Linked DNA regions of Canis lupus familiaris. Each later gene encodes a partner of the first gene's protein in a complex. Links are inferred from orthologs where the notes say so. Each region holds a gene or a part of one and is shown on either strand. Other genes may lie near its edges. The genes, in order: PDHA1 and PDHB.

What was found.
Region 2: the proteins of PDHA1 (region 1) and PDHB are in contact, whole or in part, in a crystal structure (PDB 3EXE), measured with the Homo sapiens proteins. The link is inferred for Canis lupus familiaris from reciprocal best matches to the Homo sapiens genes PDHA1 and PDHB. Residues at the interface, in NP_000275.1 of Homo sapiens: Ile87, Arg88, Gly89, Phe90, Glu137, Leu138, Thr139, Gly140, Gly148, Lys149, Gly150, Gly151, Met153, His154, Asn164, Gly165, Ile166, Val167, Gly197, Ala198, Asn200, Gln201, Gln203, Gly228, Met229, Gly230, Thr231, Arg235, Ala236, Asp296; in NP_000916.2 of Homo sapiens: Glu59, Gln62, Tyr63, Ala66, Asp84, Pro86, Ile87, Ser88, Glu89, Met111, Phe115, Gln118, Ala152, Gly153, Val154, Ala155, Ala156, Gln157, His158, Pro297, Val323, Arg324, Val325, Thr326, Gly327, Ala328, Asp329, Val330, Met332, Pro333.

The regions. Positions count from the first base shown.
Region 1 is NC_049260.1:15,413,213-15,429,357, reverse strand, and holds the start of PDHA1 (pyruvate dehydrogenase E1 component subunit alpha, somatic form, mitochondrial), read right to left. Parts: upstream 13,312-16,145; 5' UTR 13,189-13,311; coding exon 13,132-13,188; intron 9,836-13,131; exon of another isoform or gene 9,293-9,835; intron 8,864-9,292; coding exon 8,804-8,863; intron 8,024-8,803; coding exon 7,850-8,023; intron 7,080-7,849; coding exon 6,953-7,079; intron 6,265-6,952; coding exon 6,173-6,264; intron 4,962-6,172; coding exon 4,869-4,961; intron 4,037-4,868; coding exon 3,881-4,036; intron 3,706-3,880; coding exon 3,634-3,705; intron 1,506-3,633; coding exon 1,438-1,505; intron 60-1,437; coding exon 1-59. UniProt on the Homo sapiens protein: The pyruvate dehydrogenase complex catalyzes the overall conversion of pyruvate to acetyl-CoA and CO(2), and thereby links the glycolytic pathway to the tricarboxylic cycle.
Region 2 is NC_049241.1:32,433,135-32,449,411, forward strand, and holds PDHB (pyruvate dehydrogenase E1 component subunit beta, mitochondrial), read left to right. Parts: upstream 1-5,140; 5' UTR 5,141-5,203; coding exon 5,204-5,245; intron 5,246-5,328; coding exon 5,329-5,382; intron 5,383-6,953; coding exon 6,954-7,061; intron 7,062-7,152; coding exon 7,153-7,215; intron 7,216-7,315; coding exon 7,316-7,351; intron 7,352-7,752; coding exon 7,753-8,038; intron 8,039-8,433; coding exon 8,434-8,544; intron 8,545-9,546; coding exon 9,547-9,638; intron 9,639-10,292; coding exon 10,293-10,434; intron 10,435-10,726; coding exon 10,727-10,872; 3' UTR 10,873-11,272; downstream 11,273-16,277. Other genes in the region: PXK (PX domain-containing protein kinase-like protein), read right to left, coding at 13,250-13,467, 14,715-14,747. UniProt on the Homo sapiens protein: The pyruvate dehydrogenase complex catalyzes the overall conversion of pyruvate to acetyl-CoA and CO(2), and thereby links the glycolytic pathway to the tricarboxylic cycle.

The DNA.
Region 1 (16,145 bases):
GAAGCATGATAGGGTCGCTCTTACTTCTTACTTCCTGAATCTCCTCTCGTGTACGGTAACTACAGGAAGACAAACAGTAGGTAAGGACAGCTCCAGAGACGTGGGCTTCGGACACAGAGCGGTCACCGGGGGAGGGTGCACATAGAATACAAGAACTCTTCCATGAAAGATACTAGAATCTTAGAGGCAAACTCTACCCTGACGATTCCCCTGGCTTCTCAGGTGTTCTGAAGAGGAGGGGCCAAGCTTTTATTTGCTTTTTTGATCCAGATGTAGGATCTGAAGGAAGTGGTAGAGCCACTGCCTGTGCCCTCTCACGTCACTGGCAGGTAGCAGAATACCAAGCAGGAAATCAGGCTTTAGGAGCCCAGAGAAGTGAGGCCAGTGAACACTTGCACAGGTTTTCCAATTCCTGATTCTAGAAAAGAAGCCCCACGGTGTTCGAGAGTCAGTTAAGAGCGCCAACCGCCCATACACACAGTTGAAAATCTGCAAATGTTGACTCCCGAAAAACAAGTCTTATGAATAACACTTTATTAACACGTATTTTGTATGTTACTTCCATGTATTAGTCTATATAGTGTGCTCTTAACGGAAGTTGGAAAGAAGTGTTATAGTCAAGAGAAATGAAAAAAGAAAATCCCTGGATCTGTGGGCCCATGTTGTTGAAACCTGTGTTGCTCAAAGGTCAACTGTACATACATCCTTGTCTTATATCTTCCAACCACCACTAAAAGGGCTCTATTGTTTTTTTGAAAATACCAAGTACATTTTTCCATCTAAGTTGTTCTTTATAACATTTCTCTTAGAATACCAATCTACTCTCAGGCTTGTTAGGGCTTATTGACTAAATCTACTACTTTTAACTCTGTCACACTCTGGGATGGCAGCATTACATGCCAGGGTCACTAAGTGGCAAGTAAAACTATCTTCCTAATGTAACTTACCTTTTTTTTGACCGATTGATTTCAATATACTGAATATCCCACGTGCCAGGTGGCCTCACTCCATACCAGCCAAGTTTTCACATTTCAACTCTATATTTGGGTAATGCCTACAAAAGCTACATGTCCCTAAATATATATATGCTATACCATTGACCTGTTTTATCCAACAGTTTCTCTCTGTAAAGTAACTTCTACCCATAACATCACAAATCCCAAGTCACATGCTCTCCCCTCTAAGCCAGCCAGGTGCCCCCTTCTCTGCAATTCATTACTGCTCATGCTAACATGTACATACTACAAATAAGGATTTTCCGAATGCTTCCAGGCAAAGACTCAAATAATTACTCGATACCAACAAATTCACCGCATGAAGCCCACTGGTGTCTGGCTTCCAAAGCAAATGTTGAAATGCTTTGCTTTTTCATATGAGTAGCACCATACAAAGCCCACCCACCCAGGGACACCACACCCAGATTTCCCATGACCATACCTGACACCAGGGTCGCTCATGCTGTGTCCATGGTAACGGTAAGTCTGTAGCTCCATCAATATGGGCCCCTAAAACAACCCAGTGAGACGATGAGCACAGCACATCCTTTCAGAATCAAAGATATTCTCATTGGATTTTCTGTAAGTTGGCTGAGTTGTCAAGAATTTCCTATTAGCTGACTGACTTAAGAATTATGTTCTCCTTTCTGATACTTCTAGTTTATATGGAACTTAGTTGCTTTTTATTTTTTTTAAGATTTTAATTATTCATGAGAGAGAGAGGGGCGGGGACCCCAAGATCACGACCCGAGCCAAAGGCAGACCACTAAGCTACCCAGGCACCGCAAGAACTTAGTTTCTGAATCAAAAAGGCATTCAGCATGTTCTAGAGCCCACTGATATTATTTCATCAGCACTGCCTTTGACATAGAATAATCCTATAAAACAGCTGAGATTTAATGCAGAAAAACCCATTAAGGCAGGTATGACAGCAAGGAAGGGGATGGTTTTTATCTTCAGGGCCAATAAAGCTAGTTTTTCCCCCTCAGGCACATATGAATGATCTACAAGCATCTGGATTCTTTTAAAAAGGTACAGAAAAATACAATACAAAATCCCACAGAATAGGACTAAAAGCAGACCTCTAGATGTGCTGGAAAGTGTGGAAGGGAGAATTAAAACTAGGCTGGGTAGGTCAATCTCCACCTCACCTATAAGGGCTGACAACCAATCCGGCACAGATGCGGCTAGTGTGTAACAACGTTGGTGGTAACAGACAACACATGATGATTAACCCCAGGACTCGGCTGGCCAGCCCGACCACACCCAGGACAGTTTGCTCCTCCTTCACTAGCCCCCTTCCAGAAGACAGCTTTGAACACTGAGGGGAAGAGGGTGGATCTAGGATCCCTGGGCAGTGTGGTGTAGTAGTTGGGGGTGGGGTGCAAAGGGAGAGGCCCAGCTCTCAGTCCAAGAGCCTGGGATCCAATCTGGGCTGTCATGTATAGTAGCTACGTACCCTTAAACTGCTCTGTGCCTTAGTTATTGTACAGATGAGGGACCTAACTCAGGGGTTGTGTTGGTTCACACATAAGTGCTTACTGCATCACCTGACCCAGGTCAATCCCTCAATAAGGATTTATTTTTCACCTATTTTTCTGTTCTGCGCCACCCAGGAGCTATTGGAAAACAACAGTGGGCTAGGCTAAGGGGGTTTCTAGACTCTCCCCTAATTCCAAGATGAGGCTGAGAAAGTCAACACATATAAACCAGTATATATAAAATTATAAAATAAAGTCAACACTATAAACCAGTGATCCTATTTCCACGTTAAGTTTGTATTCCACATGTTCTTTCAGGAACTGGGGAAGAGGGGAATGATATCCACCGCTCAAGTCTATACCTCTCTAGTCTTGGAGTCCCGACGTAGACTGCTGAGCTCTCTGCCACCTCAGCCATACTTGATTTCATTCCTCTGTTCTCATGTGCAGCACCCCCCCACATTTCCCTCCCTGCTCCACCCTCGTTCTCCATTTGCATCACTGGTAGCCCAGTCTTCCCACACAGGGGTGTCATGGAAAGGTAAACCCTAGGGGCATGCTTTCTGGGCTGTGAACACCAATTCAGGGAGAACATCATCCTTTCCACTTGCTCTGCTGGCATCTAAGCCAACCTCACTGTTCCCTTCTCCCTCTACTGCTCTACCTGAAAGGTCCAGATTCTCAGGACTGAAACAGCAAGGTGAAGATTACATACTTTAACCGTAATATTTAAATTATGGAAGATGAGCTTACACAAAATGCCTATTATCCCAGCAAAGTTCTGTGCTGAGCACTGGGAGGGGGGTCCCCAATATGCTCACTCAAGGGGCTTATTATGATTAACAGGGTGGCAGGTGGGGGTGGGTGGGTAGAGGTTGGAGGCGCATAAATAAAAATAACCAAACCACAAGGCAAAATGCTGAGGAAGCACTCAAGAGGAAAGATTCACCCCAAACAGGGGCAATGTGGGATGTTTCCTAAGAGGTAAGCTATCAAGACCACAGTATTTACAAAGGGACCCAATTCACTGGACTCTGCTCCTGCCTTCTACACAACTAATTACCAGCAACCCCTGAAGAGCTACAATAGACACATGGGAGACATTCTTTTAAGATAAATGTCAATGGACATCTCTAGCCCAGAGGGTTGAGTCTTACCTTTCCAGATCTACAGTAGGCGGCTGCAAACCTTGTTGCCTCCCGGACACACAAGATATCCATTCCATCTACCTGTTCATACACGGAAAGGGCAGAGCATAAATCAAACCGTGTCAAACCAATTTTACAGGACCCGTTCACACGCTATGAACAGAGAACGCCTGTGTGTGTCTGGGACTGTCAAGGACCCACACAGAGCTATCACGCTGCGAAGGGGTAGTCCCGGCTGCACACCAGGCGCCCTTACCCGCAGCCCAGGAATGAAGTCGCCTCTCTTGTAGTAATCAGTGCTGGCTGCTGCTCTCTCAACAGACGTTCCCATTCCGTAGCGGTTATTCTCACAGATGAAGATACACGGCAATTTCCACAAAGCTGCCATGTTGTAAGCTTCAAATATCTGACCCTGGAAGTATGTATAAACAGTTCAAGTAGTTTCATTTTGCTACTTTTCTCTAGACTTCTTCATTGTCCCCAAAAGCTGCTGCTCTTCCTGGCACGAGACCTTTCATAAAACATGAAAAGCTTCCTTCACCTTCCACAGCGGAGCTTTTGAGGCAAAGGAGTGTGTTGGTGAGGGAGGAAGAAACGGCAAGCATCATCTCTTTTTGCAACCGAAGGAAGTGACAAACCAAATAAATTCCACCACTTGTTTCGGTGGGGCCAAGGCAGTGGTGTAGAATATAGTAGGAAAAGAGAAACATGTAAAACTTTGTGACTACCTAGTTTTATGCTTTGTTATAAATCCTAGGAGACCCACTGGACAACCAGAGTGAACCAATGACTGAGAATCAGCATCCGGAGCAGGGCCTCAGAGTGTTGTCTGTGGAATGGTGAGGACTCCGACCGTGACAGGAAAAGTATAGAAAGAGCCAGGGCTCAGAAACCATGAGCCAATGCCATGCTCTCCAAGAGAATGAGTCTGTACATTACAGGATTGGTATAAGAACAAGTCTGCACTGGGTTAAATTGGAAAAAGGTCCTTCACCCACAGGGTGTGAAGCACTGAGCTGGAGGCAGAGGAGAGCTTCTTCCTGGGTGTGTGCCCGTATTAAGCACTTGTGCAACGTGCCACAAAGTATACCTGTAATCTGGCCATAAAACCAAATTCTAGCTTGCCCCAATATGACTACTTCAACTACTAGGCAATAGACTACTTCGCTACAAATGAACTCTGACTAAACACTTTGGAGATAAAACTGCAATGGTTATTGCAAAGTCAAGAGACACATACTCACCTGATTAGCAGCACCATCGCCATATAAAGTCAAACAGACCTCATCCTTTCCATTATACTTACAGGCCAAAGCAATTCCTGCTCCCAAGGGCACCTAATATTAAGGACAACCAAGAAAAGAACCACAGAAATCCATGAGGGGAGAAATTAATGCTCTGCATTTCAAGTTCTCACCAGAACTTAAAACAGAAATTACACTGTCACTAGAAACTCTCTACCCTACCCCCAAAATTATAATCAAACTGGTAAAGCAACATGAATAATTCTTCTATTTCAACCATTAAATAACACTTCTGTAAAGATTCAATGACTAAAGAGCTAAAATATGAAACTGTTTTTTAACATACAGCAAAGTCACATTACAAAGTGAGCCAAACAATCCAGTTATAATTTTATGTTGTTACTTCTTTGAGTTTTTTTAAGATTTTATTTATTTATTCATGAGAGACAGAGAGAAACACAGGCAGAGGGAGAAGCAGGCTCTCTGCAGGGAGCTCGATGTGGGACTCAATCCCGGGTCTCCAGGATCATGCCCTGGGCCAAAGACAGGTGCTAAACCACTGAGCGACCAGTGATCCCCCAAATTCTAGTTAATTAACAGAGCATCATATTGGTTTCAGGAGGAGAATTTAGTGATTCATCACTTACATATCACACCCAGGCTGATACTTCATTATTCACTAACTGATGAGAACAAAAAGGACTACATAACCACAAAAGCTGAAGTGATGTCTAATGTGGCCCCTAAGATCCTGATCACCTGCCTTTCCTCCTCAGATACCCTCAACCGCAGTCTACAGCAGGGAGAGGAAGGCCTAAGCGGATGTGACAAAGCAATCAATGTACTTAAACATAATAAAGGTATAGGCCGCTGCTAGGGGCTCTTGCTTACATATAAAACTAAACACCTAAGAGAATTTTAAATCACTATCCAGGGATCCCTGGGTGGCGCAGCGGTTTGGCACCTGCCTTTGGCCCAGGGCGCGATCCTGGAGATCTGGGATCGAATCCCCCATCAGGCTCCCGGTGCATGGAGCCTGCTTCTCCCTCTGCCTATGTCTCTGCCTCTCTCTCTCTGTGACTATCATAAATAAATAAAAAAATTAAAAAAAATATCACTATTCAAATCTATTTATTAACTGATAAAATGGTAGGCTATGAAGCAATAGGTCTTTTAAAGTCCACTCAGCCTCCAAAGTACTAAAATATTTCAGAGGGAAGTTCTCTGGGGGATGAAACATTAAGACATGATCCAGGGCCAGATCTAGGAAAGCATGCAATCCCCTCATCCTTGTCATGGATTACCTGAGCTCCAACAATGCCATTACCCCCATAGAAGTTCTTGGCATACATATGCATCGATCCACCTTTTCCTTTAGCACAACCTCCTCTTCGTCCTACAAATGGCAGCATGTGCACATACACATCAGAAAGCAAATAAACAAAAGAAAACCACACCCCAAGTATCTACTTAGAGGCTCATCAACCACTAGAACTCACAGGCTAGTTCAACTCTATAAGCACCCATCCCTCTAGGCAAATATATACTCCACCCTTATCTCCCAGTCCTTGAATGAAGGTCAATCCAGGCCAATGTCTTTGACCTTCCCAGCTCCTTGACCATGGGGTTTCCTTTAAACATCAGCATGGTACCCCGGCCCCCCCGCCTTTTTTTGGCGCTAGTTACAAACATCTTCCGATTTATCCTACATTGGTACACTGAACAGTTCAAGAGTCAAGGGGGACAAAGGGAATATTAAAAAGCTTCCTAGAATTTAAATTGCATACAATGAAATACTCCTGCTCCACTTACTTTCTATGACTGCTAATTTCTACTGGCATGCTTGAGTGACAAACAGTATTATGATTTTACGAAGCTAACATTTTAAAACTTTTACCTAAAGGCCAAATGACCTCAAAAATGGTAAGTTTACTCAAAAGCACAACAGAGGTAACAGAGAACCCAAAGAGAGAGATTTTTTTTTAACTCAAAACCGTTTTAATTAAGTTGTAATAGCATCTTAATATGAGAGATCTGCAAATTTATTTCACTGATTTCCCCTTTTTGAAAAATCAATAGCAAACCTGTAAGCTCTGCGAGAATTTCTCTGACAGAAAGGCCACGAGTAAAGGTAAAGCCATGAGCCCGATAGGCTGTGATAAGATGGTCTGTGGGATTTATGCCAGCCTCCAGGCCCACACAACAAGCTTCCTGCATAAAAGGAAGAAGCAGCAATGAATCAATACAATACACATTTCTAGACAAAATCCTTAGACTATTATGAAAATTTAGCCTAGTAGAACTCTTAATAAGCACAAAAGGAGCTTGATTTTTCACTGCAAACAGAATAGAAGGTAAAGCTCAAGCCAGAAGCTACAAATTAATAATCCATAGATGTACTATTTCAAGCCCATGCAGTGATTTGGAGAAAAATCCTGAATATTAAATGTTACTTTGGGGGGAACATTAATATTAGGGGAATTTCATATGAAAATCAACACTTCTGTCCTCTCTTGAAGGACCAACAGGAAGCATTAACCCTGTATTTCCATATGGCACCAACTGGCTGGAACCAAATTATGGTGTCCCCTAGTGGGAAGGGCCTGGCCCACTTCATCCAGTTCACTACCAGTCCCACTTTCTTCACTAATTTATTCTACCCAGCTGGTCCCCATAGGCATTTTAATTCGTAACCCTTGGCCTAAACCCACAAAACAAAACACAAAGTGAAAAACCCTTTCCCCCATGAGTATATGCACTATAGGTGATCACAAAGTCATCAAGGTGCAAGACACCAGCAATGGGACGTGTGCATGAATTCTTTAGTATGAGCTTAGTAGCGGGCCTCAGCATGCTCATCTTTATTCTGACAGGCAGGCCTCAAATCCTTCAGAGGCATAAGGCAGGGTAAAAACCAATAAATACAAACCATACTTAAACTCCTACATCTAACATTGTTTTATTACAAAACCACCACTCACCTGACCATCACACAAGTGACAGAAACCACGAATAATTTTCTGTTTATACAGCTGATCTGCCTTTAACTCCATTCGGCGAACAGTCTGCATCATCCTATAGTACCTGAGCCCATCCTCCCTGGTGAGCACTGTGGTGACGGGAGGGCCCTCTTCTAGCCGGTGAAGATCGCATTTCTGAAATGGAATCAGTTAACTTCCAGCTACTGCAATGTAAACACTGACTACCCACTTAGAGATCTAATATCTTATTGCAGTAATATTTAACTCAAAAACCAGCAGAGGAGCACATAAGAAATGCTGCATATTACTTCTGACTCCTTTCATCATAAAGCTCATTATGTGAGAGGATCTAGTTTTGGAGGCAAGAAATCTAAGATGACTTTCACTGAAAACCCATGGAAGTCAAAGGAGTTACAGGCTGAAAGACAAACTTTGAAAGGAATAGTCTAAGAAAATTTTAAGATTGATTTTTATTTATTTATTTATTTATTTATTTATTTATTTATTTATTTATTTATTTATTTATTTATGAGAGAGAGAGAGAGAGAGAGAGAATGAGCTGGGAAAGGGGCAGAGGGAGAGGAAGAAGCGACTCCCCTCTGAGCAGGGAGCCCAATGGACCCCTGGGTCATGACCTGAGCCAAAGGAAGCCAATCAACTCACCACTACCCAGGCACCCCAAAGAAACTTCTTATTGAAATGTTTTACTGAAACACATTCTAAATTTTAGATTAAGTCTTTGTTTTAGCCCATACCCTGTCCCCTCCCCGAAACACAGCAAGCTGCTGAGTGAATTCTAATTTTTGCTAAACTTTTTTGAACCTCTGACACTAGAACATTTAGAATAAAATGGTGAAAAAGCATGAATATCAAAATGTTCTATTCCAAAGGTAAAACTGTGTAAATATGTTTACCTGTGGAAAAATTATTAACACAAAGCAAAACACCTCTTACCTTAATTTCAAATGTAGCATCATTTGCAAAATTACGGGAGGCCACCAACACTCTGCTTGCCTTGAAAGACCAAAATATACAAATATATCAGTATGTTTTATTGTCAGGTATTATAAATCAGTTCTCAGAATGCAATCCTGGAATTTTCCTAAGCCCCAACATATTCACGGGTCTATCCCTCCATTCTCTTTACGGTGTTGGGATCTTGCCTTCAAAATGAATCCATGTTCTGGCCAATGAACCATGATCATACCCACCTCTGAAGGGTAACAGCAAAAAGAGAAAGGGAGGCAAAATCAAACCCATCCTTTTGGGCATTTTGTTTCCAAAGAAATTACAGTGAAAATAGAATAAATTTAGTGGCCAAATTAAAGAGATAGCCTAGATAGCCTGTGGGCTTTATTTCTGCTATTTGCAGTCATAACCAGACATTGAACAAACTGTCAGAATTATTCTTCATATAAAACTATGATCCAATTCCTATTTCAGGCAAACCACTACTCTATGAAATGGCTCCATAAGAAAAATATTTTAAACTACTCAAGGTACGAGACATGTGTTAGTGAGAAATCTAGAAGACAAAAGAAAGATACTCAATGGACTCTACGGACATTGTATAATTTGAACAGCTCAGATCTTGGACAGGCTCCTCCAGAAGCCTCAGAAGGGAGAGAGATTCTCTGCAACCAGCTTTCCCTTCTTGATGTTTGGGTGGCTGCTATCGCTTGGGTGGTAAAAAGCTGGGGAAATGTCTCTGTCACTCTTTCAATTGAAAATACCTGCTCACAACAGAGGTACTCTACGTGACAGCTAAGGTCCAGATTAGACCGCAAAACACTTAACCAATTACAATTACTGTACTGTCACATTGTGCCATGTTTTCAAACACTGATTATAAACTGACATAATGGGACGCCTGGGTGGCTCATCGCTTAAGCGTCTGCCTTCGGCTCAGGGCGTGACCCCAGAGTACCGGGATTGAGTCCCACATTGGGCTCCCTGCATGGAGCCTGCTTCTCCTCTGCCTGTGTCTCTGCCTCTATGTCTCTCATGAATAAATAAAATATTTAAATAAATAAATAAAACTAAAGACCTTGTTGAAACACTGTATTGTACACCTGAAATTACAATGTATGTCAACTGGAATTCAAAAAAACTTAATAAAAGTAGAGACCAAACCCACTGAGAAGATCTTAAAGTTGAAACCAACAATGACAGACTATATATTAGACAGTGAAAGAGTGCTCCTTACTTTGAGCCACCCCTCTTTCTGGCTATTTTGTTTTACCTATTGCCTGCATATATGGCATTAATTATACTAAGGCACAGAAAAATACTTTGAAGAATTATCTGTTAACTGTAGATTATGTGTGTCTGTGGGCCCAAACCCAGTTTAATAGCTCCCTATCCTTGCAACAGAGCAAATCAGGTAATCAGTGTTTCCATAAACTGTAATTATTGATGAGATGTCCCCAGAGTGCTCAGTGCACTTCAGGCTCTTGGATCTAATGTGCTTATTTATCAGGTTTCAGTTGTGTTAACACAGGCTACGCTACTTAGAGTGTTCAAAGTGTTTGTTTTAAAATCATCAGAGACCAATACTTTTTTGAACCTGTACTTCTTAATGCTAAAAAATCATTGTTAGATGAAAGGAAACACACTTGAAACCGTCATGAACTGGGTAAGTTTCTTATTCCACAGATTGCCAAGTTCCCATTCTGGGTTTGACACTTTGATTTGCAAAAGTGTCTTTAAAAATAAGTAAGCATACCAGATGTTACTCCCATCAAGACAGAAACAACCACTTTCTAAGCACAGGTGATACAAATAAGTTTAAGGAATTTGTCTTTCAAAAAACTCATTGTATAAAGTAGGTGTTTAATATCTTAGAGAACGTAAGGGAAAATGTTGTACTGTCACTGTCTCTAATCGTTTTTATTTTAAGATTTTATTTATTTATTCATTAGAGACACAGAGACAGAGACAGAGAGGCAAGAGACATAGGCAGAGGGAGAAGCAGGCTCCATGCAGGAAGCCCAATGTGGGACTCAATCCCGGTACTCTGGGATCACGCCCTGAGCTGAAGGTGGAAGCTCAACTGCTGAGCCACCCAGGCATCTCTCTAATGGTTATTTTTAAAAAAACTAATTAAATAGAAGAAATGTTATACATAGGAATCCATTTCCGCTGTAATAATCTTTTCTCTCAATAACAATTTTTGACTAAATGAAGTTATATTCTACTCTGATCTTATCCAGTTAACAAATTACTAGAACTCAAAATTCATTTTTTTAAAAATATTTATTTATTCGAGAGGGGGGTGAGGGGGGAGAGAGAGAGAGAAAGAGGCAGGCAGAGACACAGGCAGAGGGAGAATCAGGCTCCATGCAGGGAGCCTGACGTGGGACTCGATCCCAGGTCTCCAGGATCAGGCCCTGGGCTGAAGGCAGCGCTAAACCGCTGAGCCACCTGGGCTGCCCTCAAAATTCATTTCTATTTGATTTGGGCAGTAGTATATGATTTTTTGAAGAGACCAAAGTTTTATGGAGATGAAGCATTTCATGCCAACGCATTGCTGGAAGACTGAAAAACACAACCAGAAATATTTTGGATAGCCGAGCAAATGAGCCTCTAATATTAATGGCTTCTCTCTGTTCCTAGGGACACAGAGATGACAGTAATTTGAAACGCATACACTAATTTTTTTCTGTAGAACATCACCAATTCTATCAAAGTTTTTCCTTTCTACTACAACCCTTTAAATTTAACATGATACAAAACTAAGATTCTCATATAAAGTTGAACACGTGTTTCCATTACTTACATTCAACTAAAAACTGAAGTTGTGGAGATTAAATAGCCTAGCATCTGGCACATATTAAGATCTCAAGAAATGTTGGATCTATCATGTGATATACAGAAATAACACTGAAATGAGCTTATCCTTTAGGTGGATCTAGTTGCAATTAAATGCTAATGACTGATGAACCAAATTGTGTTTTTTTTCCCCCCAATTATGTTTTGTAGTTATTTCAGTCAATGGGATTCCCAAAAGGGTATACTTCCTACCTTTCAATGATTTCTGCCCACAGTAAGCAGAACTGCCACAAAGTCCTGGAAGTTACTAGAACCTGAACTGCAAGTCAAGCTTGGCTACAGTTCTACCCAGTAATACTACCTCCCCATACCTAGAGGTCAAAATGCTGGAAGGCTTGAGGCACATCTAAAAACTGGAGCCATAAATAGTGCTGACCTCTAACCCCACTCTCCCAAGCACCAAAGCTGTTTTCTTTAGCTACTTTTACCCTAAGCGTGTGCGTGTAAGAAGGGCAATTTCCTCCGGGTTCTGCTTGACTGCTCTTGGAAGTGACTGCCAAGAAAAACTCAACACTGTGGGAAAGGAGGGGTGGTGATTTCTGGTGAGCATGACCCAGACTTAACCCTCCAGAGCTGGGTGAAGGTGTTTCACAAATGTATACCCAAGGGGGCACTGAAGTAACATTTTTAAAAAAGATTTTATTTATTCATGAAAGACAGAGACATAGGCAGAGGGAGAAGCAGGCTTCCCGTGGGGAGCCTGATGTGGAACTTGATCCCAGGACCCCGGGATCACTACCTGAGCCAAAGCCCTACTCTCAACCACTAAGCCACCCAGGTGCCCCTGAAATAACATCTAACACAGATAGCACCTACTATATACCAGGCGCTATTTGGCAAGGTTTACATATATGTCAAGAGTTTAAGCTTCAGGACAACCCCTTGGGGTGAATACTCGTATTATCTCTTTAGAGAGCTGGAAACCGAGCAAGGGAGATTTAAAACAAAAACCTGCCTAAGCTCACAGAGCTAGTAAATGGTGAGGCAGGTGTTTGAACAGGACCAGTTTCTGAAGTTCACGTTCTTAACACACCACGTGGCCTCTTAGTCAAGAAGAACAAAATTAGGAAGACTTCAAATGAATGGGCAGGATCAACTGGGGACTCGTGGATGCCCCAGGCCCCCTTTTCTGTCAGCAGTAAATGAACGGGCATTTCTGGAGCACACCTACTGTAGCCAGCGCCGGGAGTCACAGCTGACCTCCCCGTGGACCTGGTAGAGCTCCCCTCCCCCCTTTTGCGGCTGATGGGCCCAGCAGCCGCTAGTCCCGGAGCAGGGAGCCGAGTGCCAGGCGCGAAGGCAGAACAAAAGGCCCGCTACCCTCCGGCCGCTCCGCAGCGCCCTAAGAGGCACCACACCGCGCGCCCCCAAGCCCTGGCCGTACTCCCGCGTCGGGCCCCGCCTCGACCCCGCTCGCGCCCTACCCCGGGCCGCCCATGCTGCTGCCTCACCGGCTTCTGGGAGACGCCCGACAACACGCGGGAGACAGCGGCGAGCATCTTCCTCATGGATTGCCGGCAGCGGCGGCGGCGTAGGCGACTCCCAAGTACACAGGCGGCGCGGCCCCGAAATCTCCCAAGTCTCCTTCAGGCGCCCGGAGCGGACGCCACGCCTTAACTGCAGCACGACCGACGAAACGGAAATTCGTCACGCGCCGCGCCAGGCCGCAGGCCAACCAAGCGGGCTCCCAGTTGCGTGTCCCGCCCACCGAAGAGGTCCGCGGCCGCTCATTGGGTGTTGGCGCCATAGGGGGCGGGCACTGGGGGGCTCGTTGCGTCATCACGTCACGGGCGGGCGGGGATGCGGGAACTTGAGGGCGTCCGCCTGGGAAAGTGGAGCCCCGCCTCCGGAACCCCGCGGGAAAATGGCTTTTCATGGAGTTTTGCGACTCAGGTTAGGCGTGCACGGCGGGAAACCGTACGGGCCACCTGCCGTGCGCCCAGTCTCGCCGGGGCTGCACTTTGGCAGCCTTCGTTCAATGCACGGCAAGATGAAGACTCATGGCGTGGTCGGAGCCGAGACGGAACCTCTGGTTTCTGTAAATGGTTCTGCTGCTAACTTGTCTTTAAGAGATCATGTAACAGTTGTAAAATGCTGCCCTGTGTACTTGAGTTACGATCTAAAAATCAATTCCCCAAGTAAATATTGAGAGATCAGCTGGGAAAAGCCTTTAGCTCTAGTTACTGGTTCGCGAGCTCAACGGGAGTTAACAGCCGCATGACACAGCTGATAATAAAAGCACACACAAAGAAGCAAACACAAAAATAAGTCTAGGCTCGATTCAGTGAGTTCCCAGGTCAGAGAGCTGACTGTGGGCCAGTGGGGTTACACCTGGGATACTAGGTTCAGATTTGGGGTCCCCATGTAAGGGGAATGTTGTCAAAAATGGGTGGAATCCAGGGGACAGTGGTCAGAATGGTGAGAGGCTGAAACCACAATTTGAACTCCAAGAACTTGAACCGACTCAAGGACTCAAGTCACCTTGTTTACACTTCAGGTCCCTCACGGCTTGGCTGGGATCTGCTCCATGTCATCTTCACTCTGGCACTCAAACTGATGGAATAGCATCTGTCAGCAACTTACTGTACCTACTGTACCGTAAAAGGCAAAGGGATCATTTAAACTGGCTCTCAGGGCAGCCCTGGTGGCTCAGCAGTTTAGCGCCGCCTTCAGCCCAGGGCGTGATCCTGGGGTCCCCGGATCGAGTCCCACGTCAGGCTCCCTGCATGGAGCCTGCTTCTCCCTCTGCCTGTGTGTCTGCCTCTCTCTCTTAAAAAAAATAAATAAATAGGGATCCCTGGGTGGCGCAGCGGTTTGGCGCCTGCCTTTGGCCCAGGGCGCGATCCTGGAGACCCGAGATCGAATCCCACGTCAGGCTCCCGGTGCATGGAGCCTGCCTCTCCCTCTGCCTGTGTCTCTGCCTCTCTCCCTTTCTCTCTCTGTGACTGTCATAAATAAATAAAAAATAAATAAATAAATAAACTGGCTCTCAAAGCTTCTACCCAGAAGTGACACATGTCATGTCCTCTCAATTTCCATAAACCAGAGCTAGTCACACAACCGTATCTGAGTTCAACAGGTTGAAGTATAATTCTCCTGTCAGGAGGAAACCCAGAAAAGAGGCTGAACAGTAAAACCATAGAGGATTAGATACATCTTTACACATTTTCATACCAGTCATGTTCCAGGAGGAAAAGTTATTGTGAGCATATGTGTGAATAAAATGGTTTCGGTTGAGTATAACAATCAATTTTTTTCTAAAATGAGAATTGTCCCAGGAGATGATTCCTTATAGGTGTCACCAAAAGTATTCAAAGCAAAAGTTCAAAGCAAGACCAGATGTCAGAATGGCTAGAAGAAGGACTTCAACACTATCAGGAGCCTGGACTGAGAGACCTTATTGATGCCTTCCACCTCTATGACTAGGTTACAGTGAGAAGAGCACTCCACAAAGGAGTGAGCAGGGCCGTTAAAAGGTAGGGATGGAAGTGACATGCTGCCACTGACTGAATGTGAAGGGTGAAGAAAAAGGAAGGAAAAGGGTCAGAGATTAGATATTTGGGTCATGAGTATCAGCTGGCCTGGATGGCCTCTTGTTGGCCTGGAGGTGGTGGTGGAACACCTATCTGTCTGTCTTTGTTCCCTAGGAAGGTGGAGTTGTAAATCTGGAACATGTGGCTAGAAATACACATTTGGGACTTATTTGCACAGGGGTGATGCTGATTTGTGTGTCCAAGAGCAATGTAGAACATATGGACATAAAGTCATTCATTCATTTGACACCTATTTATTGAGCACTAATTCTGTGTCAGGTACTATACTGGGCTTTGGGGATATAGCAGGGAACGAGTAGAATGTAAGCTCTATCTCACAGAGTCTATGGTCTAATGGTAAATAACAAGTACATATAAATATATGAACATATAATAGCAACAATAGATTGTTTGAAAAAAAATTAAACAGGGTAAGAGGATAGAGAATAAGGAGGAGGGTCAGAAAGGCTCCTCTGAGGAGGGCCATGTAAGCAGAGACCTGAATTTATTCGGGAAGCAAACTATGCAAAAATCCCAAGGAGAGCTTTTCAGACAAAGGGATCACAAATACAAATGCCCTGAAGTGGGAATAAATGAGCAAGTGACTTTGGTGGCATAAAACAGGCAGAGGACCAGGAGAAATGAAGTAGAAAAGAGACCAGAAAAGGAGGGCCCTAGTGGGATTTTTCATCGTTGTTTTTTTTGGAAGGAAACTGAGTTTTGTTTTGAGTGGGATGGGAAGCAATTGCAAGGATAGGAGCTGGGAAGTGGCCATGATTTAATTTCCATTTCCACTGAACACTTAAGACCAGTCTGGTTGCTGAATGGACATTTGATCACATTTGAGCACAAAAGTTCCCTTAGTGCTTGTTCTTTGAGTTCTAGGTAGCTTCTGCTTCCTTTGGGGGAACTCGTAGATGGTAGCAGACTAG
Region 2 (16,277 bases), on another chromosome or scaffold:
CTCAAATAAATAATAAATAAATAAAGTCTTAAGATAGGGGATCCCTGGGTGGCGCAGCGGTTTGGCGCCTGCCTTTGGCCCAGGGCGCGATCCTGGAGACCCAGGATCGAATCCCACATCAGGCTCCCGGTGCATGGAGCCTGCTTCTCCCTCTGCCTGTGTCTCTGCCTCTCTCTCTCTCTCTCTGTGACTATCATAAATAAATAAAAAAAATTAAAAAAAAAAAAGATAAAACAGTGTGGTACTGGCATAAAAAGAGACATAGAGACTAAGAAACAGACTAGAAAACTCAAAAATAATCTCTCCCATATATGGGTCAGATGATTTTCAACAAAGGTGCCATGACAGTCAACAAGGAAAGGACAATGTTTTCAATAAATGGTATTTGAAGAACTGGATAACCACATGCAAAAGAATGAAATTGGACCCCTACTTTACACCATCTATAAAAATTAACTCAAAATGGATCAAAGACCTAAACATAAGAGTTACTAATATTAAACTCTTAGAAGAAAATATAGGAGAAATGCTTCATGATATTGAATTTAGCAATGATTTTTTTTTTTTTTTAATTTATGATAGTCACACAGAGAGAAAGAGAGGCAGAGACACAGGCAGAGGAGAAGCAGGCTCCATGCACCGGGAGCCCGACATGGGATTCGATCCCGGGTCTCCAGGATCGCGCCCTGAGCCAAAGGCAGGTGCCAAACCGCTGCGCCACCCAGGGATCCCTGATTTTTTTTAAAAGATTTATTTATTTATTTATTCATGAGAGACAGAGAGAGAGGCAGAGACACAGGCAGAGGGAAAAGCAGGCTCCATGAAGGGAGCCTGAAGGAAAACTCCATCCCAGGTCTCCAGGATCACGCCCTGGGCTGAAGGCAGGCGCCAAACTGCTGAGCCACCCAGGCATCCCTAGCAATGATTTCTTAATTATGTTAAATCAGAAACAAACGGAGACCAACCTTGAAAATTCCATGAACCGACAAAATCAGTTTAAGCATACAAACACAGCTTAATTTAGCTTAAGCAAATTAGCTTGCAAGGCTAACTTGATCTGGGTAATTTCTTACTTGTACCCCTATAAATGATAAGCAAAACTTGAAGTGTTTCCCAAGGTTAATATGAAGTAATCACTGAAAATGTGATATCATAACCAATCACCATGAAGAATAAACTCACTGCTTTCTCACTATATAAACTGCTCTATTAGCAATATACTCCTGAACCTCACTTCATACTTTGGTTTGAATGTTCCTAGCCTACAAACTGTCTTTTTGGTCTGTGCACAATAAGTTTTTACTAATTACTACCTCAGTGATTCATTGGTTTTACTTGGGCTATTTTGAATCTTTGACAGATATACCAAAAGCATAAGCAATAAGAGAAAAAATTAAAATAAATAAAAATAAAAATAAATTAAAAAAGAGAAAAAATAAACTGGATGTTATCAAAATTATAAACTTTTGTGTAACAAAGAACACTATTATTAGAGTGAAAAGGAAACCCAAGGAATGGGAGAAAATATTTGCATAACATATATATTTGATAAGGGATTAATATTCAGGATATACATAGAACTCCTGTTAATTCAACAACAAAACAAGAACTCAGTTGAGAAATAGGCAAGACTTGAACAGTCATTTCTCCAAACATACAGATGGCCAAAAAGCACATGAAAAGATGATCAATATCACTAATCATTAGGGAAATGCAAATAAAAACAAAGATGAGATACCACTTTACACATATTAGGATGGCTATTAGCAATTAAGCAGAAAATAGTAAATGTTGGTGAGAATGTGGAGAAAGTGGAAACCTTGTGCATTACTGGCGGGAATATAAACTGGTATATCTGCAATGGAAAAGAGAATGGTTATTCCTCAAAAAAATTAATCCAGAATTAACATGATCCAGCAATGCCACTTCTAGGTTATACCCCAAAGAATTAAAAGTAGGGGCTCAAATAGGTATTTGTGAACTAATGTTCATAGCAGCATTATTCACAAATCTAAACATTGAAAACAACCAAGAGGTCCATCAACAGAAAAATGGATAAACAAAATGGGATATATGCATACAATGGACTATTACTTAACCTTAGAAAGGAATGAAATTCTTTTTTTTTTTTTAAGATTGTATTTATTTATTCATGAGAGACACAGAGAGAGAGAGAGAGAGAGAGAGAGAGAGAGAGGCAGAGACACAGGCAGAGGGAGAAGCAGGCTCCACGCAGGGAGCCTGATATGGGACTCAATACCCGGGTCTCCAGGATCACACCCTGGGCTGAAGGTAGCATTAAACCGCTGAGCCACCGGGGCTGCCCAGGAATGAAATTCTGATACATGCTACAATATGGATGATCCTCCAAGACATTACAATAACTGAAACAAGCTAGTCACACTCACTCACACACACAAATACTGTATGATTTCACTTACATGAGGTAGAGCAGTCCAATTTATACAGATGGAATGGTCATTGCCAGGGCTTAGCGGAAGGCGGAAATGGAGAGTTACTGTTTAATGAATAGTTTCCTTTTGGGAAAATGAAAAGGTTCAGGAGGGGTACCTAGCTGTAGAGCCACCTGTAGAGCGTGCAACTTACGATCTCAGGATCATGCCTGATCCTTATCCTAAATTCATGCCCCACACTGGGTGTAGAGATTATTTAAAAGTAAAAAGAAAAGAGAGAAAGTTCTGGAAATGGATAGTGGTGGTGATTGAACAACAATATGCACATATTAAATGCCAATGAACTATATGCTTAAAGTGGTAAATTTTATGTGATATATATTTTACCACAATAAAAACCAATCTAATTAGAATACGAACAAAAGAACAGACACTTCATCAAGGATGGATGGCAGAAAAGCATATGAAAAGATGTTTAATAATTAACCATTAGAGAAATGTAAATTAAAGTCATGAGGGACACTGCTACACATGTATTACAATGGCTAAAATAGAAAATATTGATAATATCACACACTGGCAAGCATTTAGTGCAACTGGATGTCTCATACTTTGCTGGAGGTCATGTAAAATGGTATAGCCACTCTGGGGCAGCCTGGGTGGCTCAGTGGTTTAGCGCCGCCTTCGGCCCAGGGTGTGATCCTGGAGACCCGGGATCAGTCCCATGTCGGGCTCCCTGCGTGGAGCCTGCTTCTCCCTCTGCCTGTGTCTCTGCCTCTCTGTGTCTCTCATGAACAAATAAAATCTTAAAAAAAAAAAATAGTATAGCCACCGTGGAAAAACACTCCAATATAATCATACTGCTCGGTATTTACCTGAAGAAATGAAAACTAATGTTTAAAAAGCCAGTGTTCATTGCAGGTTTATTGGTAATAGCTAAAACTGGATACAAACCAAATGTCCTTCAAGGAGTGAATGGATAAACATGCAACCACTTAGAGATATAAAGAAACGTTGATACACGCAACAACTGGAATGGATTTCAAGAGCATTAGGCTGAGTGGAAATAGCTAATCTCCAAGAGTTACATATTGTACGATTCTGTGTTGAAATATTCTTGAAATAACAAATTATAGTGATTGAGAACAGATTAGTGGTTGCCAGGAGTTAGGGGTGGAGGAGGTAACAATGAGGTAACAGGAGGGAGGTGCTTTGTGGGGATGGAACAATTCTGTATTCTGGCTGTGGTAGTAGTTATGTGAATCTGTACGTCTAATACAATTCTATAATACTACACTCCTCCTACCCCTGCCAGAATGCATATAAAAACTGATGAATGGGGGATCCCTGGGTGGCGCAGCGGTTTGGCGCCTGCCTTTGGCCCAGGGCGTGATCCTGGAGACCCGGGATCGAGTCCCACGTCGGGCTCCCTGCATGGAGCCTGCTTCTCCCTCTGCCTGTGTCTCTGCCCCTCTCTCTCTCTCTCTCTGTGACTATCATAAATAAATTTAAAAAAAAAAACTGATGAATGCTGTATAAAGTCTCTACCCGAGTTAAGAGCATTGCACCGTTATCAATTTGGGGGATTTGACAATGTACTATGGTCATCCAAGATATTGGGCAAAGATAGTTGAAGGTCACATGGATGCTCTTTGCACCAGTTTCACAATTTCTTGTGACACTTAAACTCTTTCAAAAGAAAAGAAAAGAAAAGAAAACTTAAAGAAAGAAAGGAGGGGTGCCTGGCTGGCTCAGAAGAGCATGGGACTCTTGATCCCAGGGTCATGAGTTTAAGCCCCAGGTTGGGCATAAAGAATATAAAAGAAAAAAAAAAAAAAAAGAAAAGGAATAAAGTATTGATACACTTAACGACATGGATGAATCACAAAAACATGTTGCTGAGCGAGACGCAAGAATGATAGAATTCCCTTTACGTCAAGTTCTAAAACAGGCAAATTAAGTTACGGTGATGGCGATCAGATCTGTGGTTGCCTGTGGGGTGATGTGTGGGGAACGATCGGGAGGAAACGTTGAGGGAACTTTCTGAGGTGGTGGGGGAATGTGCATTTTACTGTGGTCGAGGAAGCGAAAAGCTCTCTTTAACACATTTCGCTTGAAATGACCAACCAAAAAACAAAAAAAAAGATTGAAAATTCTGGATGAAGGACTTTCTGACGACTGACAACCCGAAGTGACTTGAGGAAAAGTGGAGGTAACAGTCATCACGCGGGAGGGTTCCTGTGAGAATTACAGGAGCTGGACAGCACTTACTACGATGCCCGGCACACAGTAGGCGCTTCATGCCTCGATGAACACTCCGGTTCGCATTCCAGGGAGCAACAGACGGACAGCACGGTCCGGCCCGGGGACCACCGGGCTCGTTCAGAGCGTGCGCAGGCGACACTTGGCGCCCTACGGGTTTCAGTGCCCGCAAAAGGCTGACCCAACTCTGAAGGTCCCCGCAGCCTCAACCTAACGTTCCTCAGAACCTGCCTTCCGGGCACCGCGCCTCAGGCAGCACCGCTTACAGACGCGTCCCGCCGCGCAGCGCGCACCGCAGCAGCCGCCCGCTCCCGGGAAGTTGATTGGCCCCGGCCCCAGAAACAGCGGTAGTACCGCCCCACGCGCCACCTAGGCCCCGCCCCTCGGCCCCTCACCCGGCAGCGGATGGGCGGGGCACGCAGGCGCCGCGCGCTGCCATTGGCCTGAGCTGGCGCGGGAGGCGGAGCCTGAGGCGACTGCGGTCCTGCGGTGTTGTCATTCGGCGGCGGCTGGAGGACACGGTCAAGATGGCGGCGGTGTCTGGCCTGATGCGGAGACCCCTGGAACAGGTAGGCAGCGGCATGCGTGCCTCCGCGTGGTCTCTGCCCGCCTTGCGCCCCCTCTCAGCGTCCTCTCTCTCTCTTTTCGCCAGGTGTCGGGGTTGCTGAGGAGGCGCTTCCACCGGACGGCGCCGGCGGCGCTGCAGGTAGGTGGCCTGGGCGCTAGCCCGAATCCCGGGAGGGACGCGCCTGCGCCGTGGGGACAGGGACGGCACGGGCCCTGAGGTCCACGGGTTCCCACATCCTGCGTGGGACTCCGAGTGCCTCTGTTGCGACCCAGCGCCGGACACACCAGCAAGTCGCCCCGGCCAGGCTCACTGGAATCTGTGGGCGATCTGAGGAAACTAGACCTCGCGCTTCCTCCCTCAACCGCCCCATTTACATTTTTCAAGTAGAATATACATAACCAGATTTACCATTTTAAAGTGTATATTCAGCGGCAGTACTTCCGTTTACTATGTTGTGAGACCATGACCACCATCGGTCTTCAGAACTTTATCACCATCACACACAGAAACTCTCCACCCCTTAAACACGAACGTCCCATTTCCCTCTTGCTCCCGGTAACCTCTTTGGCACTTTCTGTGCCTTTGAATTTATCTATTCTAGGTGTGTCCTGGAAATGGAATCCTGCAGTGTTTGTCCTTTTATATCCGGTTTATTTCACTTAACATATGTTTTCAAGGTTCATTCATGTTGTAGCATGTGTCAGAATTTCATTTCTTTGTTTAAGGTTGAATAATATTCCATCTTATGCATATATCACATCTTGTTCCTCCATTCTGTCTGTTGATGGACATGTGGGTGTTTTCACCTTTGGGATTTGTGAATAATGCTGCTAAGAACACTGGTGTGCAAGTATCTGAGTCCCTGCTTTTATTTCTTTTGATCATCTCTAGAAGTGGAATTGTTGGATCATATAGTAGTTCTGTGTTCAACTTGAGGAATTTCCTACCCCGTACCCCCTCCTTTTTTTCTTTTTTCTTTTTTTTAACTAGAGGACTCTCAATCTGTCTAGTAAAATAACTTGTAGATTCTGAAGGTAGTGTTTGGAAGTTCCCAGTACCTAGTGAGTGCTCAAAACATAGTTTTATTTAGGCTTTCTTAACAGTTTTCTGTCCCATACTACACTGACTGTGGAAATAAAACAACTGAATAGAATTTTTACTCAGGAAACTTGAGCTGGTCTGGCCAGCAAACAGCTTTTGTTAAGTTTAGGTGCACATTAAGAAAAGCATTCAGTATTTTCATTAACAAATTCAGCCAAAGACTGTGTATGAAAATGTTACTTTTAGAATTCTTTGAACTTTTTTTTTTTTTTTTAGAGATTTATTTGAGAGAGAGAGAGAAGGGGCACAAGCAGGGGGCAGAGATAGAGGGAAAGGGAGAAGCCGATTCCCTGCTGACCCTGCTGAGCAGAGAGCCCACTGCAGGGCTCAATCCCAGGATCCCGGGATCATGTCCTGAGCTGAATGCAGATGCTTAACCAACTGAGCCACCCAGGTGCCCTCCCCTCACCTTTTATTTTCATTTTTTTAAAGATTTTATTTATTTATTTGAGGGGGGGATTCTTTGAACTTTTAAAGAGAAGCCTGTCCTAGCGATAGTTTTCATACCGTATGCTGTAGGCAGCCTAGTAATTATAAAAGGAGAGAATCTCAGTAGTATCTGAAATAATCCTGTAGCTTATTGGCTGTTTTCCCCATACCTGTGACAGGTGACAGTTCGTGAGGCTATAAACCAAGGTATGGATGAAGAGCTGGAAAGAGATGAGAAGGTATTTCTCCTTGGGGAAGAAGTTGCCCAGTATGATGGTGCATATAAGGTAACCCAAGATATGTGAAAGCGATATAAATTGAGGTGGCTGTTTGCCCCCATATACACTTAAAAGTAATGAGATCATTGTGTAATTTTAGGTTAGTCGAGGCCTGTGGAAGAAATATGGCGATAAGAGAATCATAGATACTCCCATATCTGAGGTGAGCCTTCCATCAGGACGCAGACTTTTCAGGGGCATGTTAAAGTGTACACTGTTCTGATTTTTATGGATTTTCACTTGTGTTTGTGTTTTACTTCTAGATGGGCTTTGCTGGAATTGCTGTGGGTGCAGCTATGGTGTGTAATCCTCTTTATGAATCTCATCTAAAGAGATTTTTTTTTAATAATTAAAAAAATTTTTTTTGTATTTTTTATTGGAGTTTGATTTGCCAACATATAGTATAACACCCAGTGCTCATCCCGTCAAGTGCCCCCCTCAGTGCCCATCACCCAGTCACCCCATCCCCCCACCCACCTGCCCACCTCCCCTTCCACCACCCCTTGCTGGTTTCCCAGAGTTAGGAGTCTCTCATGTTCTGTCACCCTCTCTGATACTTCCCACTCATTTTCTCTCCTTTCCCCTTTAATCCTAAAGAGATTTCTTTTAACATGACCTTTTAAAAACATTGAAGTTTGGAGTGGTTGCCACTTTTTATTGCTTTTTAGTTTTTCTAAGATCTCTGTTTTTTATTTGACAGGCTGGGTTGAGGCCCATCTGTGAATTTATGACCTTCAATTTCTCTATGCAAGCCATTGACCAAGTTATAAATTCAGCTGCCAAGACCTACTACATGTCGGGGGGCCTTCAGCCTGTGCCTATAGTCTTCAGGGGGCCCAATGGTGCCTCAGCAGGTGTGGCTGCCCAACACTCACAGTGCTTTGCTGCCTGGTATGGGCACTGCCCAGGCTTAAAGGTGGTCAGCCCCTGGAATTCAGAGGATGCAAAAGGACTTATTAAATCAGCCATTCGGGATAATAATCCAGGTCAGTAGAGTGAGCCTTGGGTCTCTTTTGAACATTGAGGAACTAAGTTGAAATCTTTGCCTGGAAGGAAGCCGTTTAAGGGTTCTAGTTAGGCTTAGACATATAAAATGTTATGATTTACAGATACAGCAAAGACCATTAAAAAGGTGTTGTTTTTGCTTTTCTGACTATATGGGGCCTATTAGGTACCTACAACACCATTTTAACTACAATAGATAAAATTAGGACTGACCAGACTATAGATGCCAGTACCTAAACCATCCTCTCAGGGCTACTGGACACAATAGATAGGAGGCTTCCTAATCTGCACAGTGAAACTTTGCACAAAATGAATGATAGTTATGTATATACATTTGGTCATGTAGTTAGTTCTGTTAAACATTTGTATTTTGTAGTGGTGGTGCTAGAGAACGAACTGATGTATGGAGTTCCTTTTGAATTTCCCTCCGAAGCTCAGTCAAAAGATTTTCTGATTCCCATTGGAAAAGCCAAAATAGAAAGGCAAGGTAAGAGCACTTAGTACATGCTAAAGTATTTGTAATCTAGCTCCTGTATTTATGTTTGTCAAATTCTTTTTTTTTTTTTTTTTCCAAGAAGTGTGGGAGGGCCAGAGGGAGAGAGAATCTTAAGCAACCTCCATGCCCAGCAGGGAGCCCAACCCAGGCTCAGTCTTTTTTTTTTTTTTTTCCAGGCTCAGTCTTAACAATCTTCATGACCCGAGCTGAAATCAAAAGTCAGACACTTAAGTGAGCCACCCAGGCACCCTGGTCGAACGATTCATTCTTGAAGTTCCTGCCCTTTACTTTGGTTAGGAAATTATCAAGTTAAGAAATCCATCATGTTGGGGATCCCTGGGTGGCTCAGTGGTTTAGCGCCTGCCTTTGGCCCAGGGCGCGGTCCTGGAGTCCCGGGATCCAGTCCCGTGTTGGGCTCCCGGTAGGGAGCCTGCTTCTCCCTCCTCCTGTGTCTCTGCCTCTCTCTCTCTCTCTCTCTATGCCTATCATAAATAAATAAATAAATCTTTAAAAAAAAAGAAAAGAAAAGAAAAGAAATCCATCATGTTGAGGCACCTGGGTGGCTCAGTTAGTTAAGTGTCCAGCTGTTGGTTTGGCTCAGGTCATGATCTCAGGGTCCTGGGATCAAGCCCCATGTCAGGCTCTGCACTCAGCATGGAGGGTGCTGAAAATGATCTCCCTCTCTCTCTTTCTCTCTCTCCCTGTGCTCCTCACATGCTCCTGCTCTCGCACACATGTGCTCTCTCCTCCTCTCAAATAAAATCTTGAGAAAAAAGAAATGAAGAAATGTGTTACACTTTCCTCATAAACTTTTGTGCTTTCCTGATTCTCAGTCCAGTAGATTTGTATTTCATTTTTAGGAAGGCTATCACATTCCTCACCTCACTGGAACAGAGTTGAATTTTATAAATGAACAAGAGCCACAATGGCTGTGGAGCAGTACAACAGCTTTAGTTTCAACCTGGTCTCTGACCTGTGACCACTCTGTTTCAGGTACACACATAACTGTAGTTGCTCATTCAAGACCTGTGGGCCACTGCTTAGAAGCTGCAACAGTGTTATCCAAAGAGGGTATTGAATGTGAGGTATGTAGACATTCACTTCTTAAAGAATCAGAAAGTTTCCTTTTAAATTTAAGACCCAGAAATAGGAGTTTGAATTCTGTAACAGGTTAATAACTAAGTGTAAAATCTTGCTTTGTCACTCACTTTTGCTTAAAGCTGGGAACCTTCTTGCTTTTCAAATACCTATTTTTAGAATAGTACTTACTTTCTCAAGCTGGGATCCAGCCTTGGAGCTAGAGGTTGGGACACAGGGAATCTTAGAAATCAGTGTCTAACCTTTTCATGTCCAGGACCTACCACTTGCTAGTTAAACTTGGGCAAGATCTGTCCTCTGAATCTCAGCTGCATCAGCTGGAAACTGAGAATACCTTTACTGTCCCATTAGGGTGGTTGTTACACTCAGTGTAGCACCTGGCACACAGTGACCAGTCAGTTGTTAGTTGTTTTGATGAGAAGGAAGTTAAAGCCCAGGAGGTTAAGTGAATTCTTAACCACTTGTGAAAGATTTTTGTTTTAATTACCATTTCCCATTTTACATTTTGTTCTTGAATAGGCAGATTTGATTTTCCTAGACTCTGAGATTAACAGGAAACAAAACAGGGCGTGGTATTATGGGGATGAGACTATACTTGTGGTGCAGTGGCTCTATAAAGCATATCTGTATTATCTGTTTAGGTGATAAATATGCGAACCATCAGACCAATGGACATTGAAACAATAGAAGCCAGTGTCATGAAGACCAATCATCTCATAACTGTGGAAGGAGGCTGGCCACAGTTTGGAGTAGGAGCTGAAATTTGTGCCAGGATTATGGAAGGTATTTCAGAGAACCTGGTTCTAGAATACTCAAGCTGTAATAAACAGTGTATACCGGGACACTGTATAGAGAGCAAAAGCTAGGGGTGGCCAAAAGTCTTAACTTTTCAATTTCACCTTGGCATTTTTTCCTTTGGGTAAAATTTTTTTTAAAAAAGCCAGATACAATCCCCATAATTAGTATATTCCTTCAGGTTTTCTCTCCTTGGAGAGCCATACCTCCTGTGGGAAGGTGCTGGTGTTCAGTGACTTTTTTTTTTTGCTTCTCTCAGTTGAGCCTCCTTCTCTCCTAGGCCCTGCATTCAATTTCCTGGATGCTCCTGCAGTTCGTGTCACTGGTGCTGATGTCCCTATGCCTTATGCAAAGATTCTAGAAGACAACTCTGTACCTCAAGTTAAAGACATCATATTTGCAATAAAGAAAACATTAAATATCTAGTTTGGACTTGAATTTCAAGTCATTGGGATTTACTTAAAATACTTTCTGACAGTTCACCTGAATTGTACTGTAAGACCTTATGATTCATAAAGCTATCTCTAAAGCAACATCACAGATGTTTTTGTACTTGGAAGAAGTTTAAATGTGCTTGTATGTGGAAAAACTCTCCTCTCCTGCCCTAGACTCCATGGGGGGGGGGGGGGGGTTGGTCTGTTACAGTTATGTTCTTTGAATAAGGCTAACTTAAAATTTTACCCTTTCACAAGGACAAGGTCTGAACATGGCAGAGTTCTGCAGAAAGACATATCCAAAAAGATAACTTGTATGTAAAGATAAAAGCTATTATCTACATTTGCTGTTTGATTGTTTTGATAAGGAATAAAAGAATTCCTAAGTATGACTAATTGTATTTTTATATTCTTGAGGTAATAAATCTGGGGTGGGTGGAGGTCTTAAAATTCTGCTAAGAATTTCTATTAAGAAATGAGCGATGCTGGGCAGCCCCGGTGGCATAGCCGTTTAGCGCCACCTGCAGCCCGGGGCGTGATCCTGGAGACACGGGATTGAGTCCCACATCGGGCTTCCTGCATGGAGCCCGCTTCTCCCTCTGCCTGTGTCTCTGCCTGTGTGTCTCTCTCTCTCTCTCTCTAAATGAATAAATAAATAAATCTGAAAGAAAGAAAGAAAGAAAGAAAGAAAGAAAGAAAGAAAGAAAGAAAGAAAGAAAGAAAGAAAGAAAGAAAGAAAGAAAGAAAGAAAGAAAGAAAGAAAGAAAGAAAGAAAGAAAGAAAGAAAGAAGAGAAAGAAGAAAGAAAAGAAAGAGAAAGAAGAAAGAAAGAAAGAAAAGAAAGAAGGAAAGAAAGAAAGAAGAAAGAAAAAAGAAAGAAAGAAAGAAAAAGAAAAAGAGATTAATGATGCTAAATCACCTGAACTGCCATCACATTTATAACTAACTTGTCCACAGACTCTTCAAATGCCCAATTGTAATAGGGTTCCCTCAAAATTAAATGAAAATTTGTATCAGGTATTTTTCCCACTGCTGAAAAAGAGATATGCTGCCATATGCTGCCCTCTTTAGAAGTTGAGACAGAAAAGATAGATTTAAATTAGTTACAGAAGCATATGAGGGGATGTCTAATTTAAATGGCAAGACAGGATTGTTAGCTTTTAGTTAATTAAGAGGGAAAATATGACACAAAAGAGACATAGGATAGGTGGGAAGGAAACCAGAAATATTGTGTGGATCTATTCTTTGTTTATAAGAATTCCCACTTAAAATGCCTAGCACCAAGCTACAGACAACATACTTTCTTGACATGGTTTATTTTAATAAAAAATACAGCTGAACATTTATCACAGATTAAATGAAACTATACACAATGACATTCTCTCTGCATAGTAACCAACACTGATGTGTGTACTTGAATTTTTAAATGGATTATTTATAATCCTTTAAAGTGCAATTTATTTAAGGGTTTAAGCAAATCATAGGATAAAGGATCTAATAAATGAGTAACATTAAAAAGATGATATATTTGGATAAACCTTTCAAAAAATCAGAATTGATTTTTATGAACGCCAAATTTACTTGTGTGGTAATAATAACCCCCCATAAACCACAAACTTGACTTTATTGCTGAGGATGAAGATCCTTTAATCAGCAAGAGCTTTTTCTGATATTAACATTTCCTGTCCAATACACTCTAACTAAAAGGAACTATGAGTCTAGAGTGGTTGCCTTCGCAGCCCTGAGTTCTATAACCACAATGGTATTCTTGTTAGAACCTAGAGAGGTTCCAGGCTTGACTTGCCCCTGACTATCTGAATGGAAAAGGAAGAACTCAGTTGCTTCTCTCACTCCTCGACATAACTATGCTTTGGACTACAGTGTTAATAATGTCGAAGACAAAATAAGGTAGCAAAAATGGGAGTTACCTAAGAAATAACCAGAAAATGCTTTATAGAGAAATGAGAGGAACATTTCTGGGAGCTGTCTGACATAAAAGGAGGGATTGCAACACAAAGGTCATTCACTGTTCTGAATATTGTCATTGGTTTTTTTGTCCGTTTCCTTCAATTGGTGAAAAGGTTGACTCAGATATGCTGCTGCCCCCAAAAGATGCCCATTAGAAGATGAATAAGACTCCTTTAAAATGGTAATAAAGGAGCAAAATAAGGATTTCTTAAGGCAGAAATGCCAGCCTGACTTCATTCTACTTGAATATTTCCCTCTTGAGAAGCCTCTTATATGAGCATCTGAAAACAGTATGTGACTGTACTGGCTCAGCAATTATTCATCCGAAAAAAGAGTACGTTAGGGGTTGGAGGTGGGAGGAAAAAACAACGAACTTTTCCCTCCAAGTGTAAACACGAAGCTTTAGCCGATCTTAGGAGCACTATGATCACAGGTTTCGGCTTTCCTCAAAGTTCCCTTTTGGAAATTCTGGATGGAGCTGAGTAAGGCCCCTCGACTCACACCATTCACAGCCTGGGGCGGGAGCTGTGTAGGCGCCTCTGTGCTCGCAGGAAGCAAGGGAGCTGCTGGTGGTGGAGGCGGAGGCGGAGGTGGAGGAGGTGGAGGTAATGCGGACATCCCTAGGTTTGGGAGAAAGGGGACAGTCAGATTCATCTCTCCAAACACCCTGCACACATGTTACTGCCCAGGCCTGGATGGAACACGCTTTGATGAGACTGCAAATATTTTCCCACAGAGGGACCAAGAAAACCTGGTCCTGTATGTTTTTTTAAAATGCTGAACAAGAAAACTAGAAGCATCAAAGAGGAATTAATTTCCCCAGATAACAGTCAACTAAGACTGAATATCAAAGATTACATGAAACTATACATAGTGACATTCTCTCCGTTCTCCGTGTAAATGAGGCTCTAACTCCATTTCCAAATTTTAGCGATGATCCCAAAGTTCCATCAGCTGTTTTAGGCAGGTCCAGGGCACCTACTGAGCTAGCAAGTAAAAATAGACATTTGTATGCAGAGTTGGGCTACCTGAATATCAATTACTGATAAAGGATGAACATTTCTTTAGCTGCTCCAACACACACAACATTTGAAGGACGTGATTTAATAGAAAATGACAAACCACTCAGAATTCTCGGCAAGGAACCAGTGCCTGCTGGGTTAAGGGTTCCCCAAGGGCCTGTGTCTCCAATCATCATTTTCTATTAGGCTGCATTAGAAATATAATAGGCTAATAACTGTTAACAGTGCAAAGCAAGGGGCAGAAGGCTCTTTTCCCTGGCAATGGTATTCTCAGGGATGAGTCTTCATCAGCACCTTCTTTCCACTGCGGCCTAAACCAGGAACAGAATGGAACGGTAATAACCCTACGTCTTTGCTGAAGCCATCAGGAGAGACTCTACCCTGGTGGGTGAGGAGAAGGAATCTGGACACGTATCTAAAACTTAGCTTCCAGGCACATGAACACTTGGCAGTTGACATTTATAGTTCTGAATAGATGAATGAATTATTCTCCTAGGACAAGATAAAAACTGAGTACAGCAAAAGACCTGCTTTAAAGAACTTGCTTGTGCCACAGAGTTAGCTGCCCCATTTCCTGTGAACCTTGCAGCACTTGGTGACTCCCCTGTTTCTAGCCTTGCCCTTGGTCCATCCCAGGGCTACCCTAGCGAGACACTCTGTTAGGTGTTCTTCCCCTCCAACCTGCTACTGAGCTGTGATGGTAACAAGTAAGCATACCATTACCACTTGAGTTTATATGGACGAGTGGTTCAGGATCACCAATAAAATACTTCGCTAAGAGATCCTTTTTACCAAGTGTGCCACATAATGGTTCAAAGTCTTGTATTTCATAGAAAACCACTTACCTTCGTTACATCTTTTACTAAAACCGAAGGCAGCTGAAATTAAAGAATCACACAGATACACACATTCATGCTCTGCAATCTTAGAATTCTCAAAAATGAAAATATAATATGAATAAACGTTAAATACAAACAAATGAACAAAATGTAATTCTCACTGGTTCTATACAGTAACAACAAATGAATGATGTTCTGTTATGTTCTCTGCCAGGATGTCTCCTGGAAAAATGTTCCCAGCTTCATGTTACAAGGTTACGAAGATAAAAAAGACTTTAAACCCATAATAACTGCTGAGGTGAGAAGAGCAGGGAGGATAAGTGTGCTAGAAGCATTCCTCTGAGGGAGTTTTTGGAAAGTGGCCAGTGAAATCCCAGTGGGGGTGGGGGTGTGTCTCTGAAGGCTCTTGGGACCTAGCAGTAGCACCAAGAGTGCCCCCGAGGAGCCAGCAGGCTCCGATACCCCACCACCCAACAGCCAACAAAGGACAGTAGAATCTGCACTTGACACACAGGGCCCACTGTGTTCCAGAATGGGCTCCAGAATTTCTGCCTGTCAGCTTTGTGCTTTGACCGTGGAGAAGAGTCACTGCAGGTAACAAGAAAGAAGACAAGCTCTGGGCTACGACAGCACTTGCACCCTGCTAAAGGCAGAGAGTGACCTGTCCAGAGACCTGTCACCCTTCCAGTCCAGGATTCTGGAAGGCTAGGGGTGGGTCTCAGCAGCTGGACCTGGATTTCGGCTGCCTCTTGGCACAGAACAAATCTGCTTGGACTTCGCAAGGAGCCAACCCTCGACTTTGGCTTCATTATCAGCCACTCAAAATTAAAAGTGCAAATTGACTCTCTCAGAGCTTGGAGTTGGGGGTGGTGTTCAGTACATGGATCTTGAGTTTCCAAGTAAAGGATGAGATTGTTAGGACTTTAAATGAATCTCTTTGAATATGTAGGTAGTGTAAATAAACACACGGTCCCAAGCATCACAGAGTAACTTGTGCTTATAAAGCAAATGAGATGTCGAGGTTGTACAAAAGGAGAGGCTGCTCATTCAGGGATAAGGAGCAAGGTCACCCTGACATCTGCTCAGAGGGCCAGACCAGACCCAGAGGGCCTAACTGTCCCACAAGGCCCACTCTTCCTCACTGGGCCTGCGGACAACTAGGGCAGATCTTGATGTATAATCAGGGCAAGGCCAAATCTCATCTTGCCAGCTCAGAACACTCTAGAAGAGGGAAGGAGGTCCCCGAGTTAGAAGGTCAGTAATGGAGGAAGTAAGAACACAGACCCAAGGATTCAGCCTCTGATGACAGGCCCCACCAGGGTTTTTTTGGCATTTTCTTTTTACTTCCTCTATAGTCCACAAGATTCCTTTAAAGGTTCGTTGGGGCTTAAGCTACAACACATTCTACCAGTTGCAATATTGATATGGGTCAAATTCAGAGCTGGCTATTTGGTCTGAGGTGGACCTGGGAAAAGCTGCCTAATGCCTGAGTGCCACTGACTCATCCCCCACCAAGTACCCAATAGTCCTTATCCGCAGGCCACAGACAAGATCAGGCAGATTCCATGT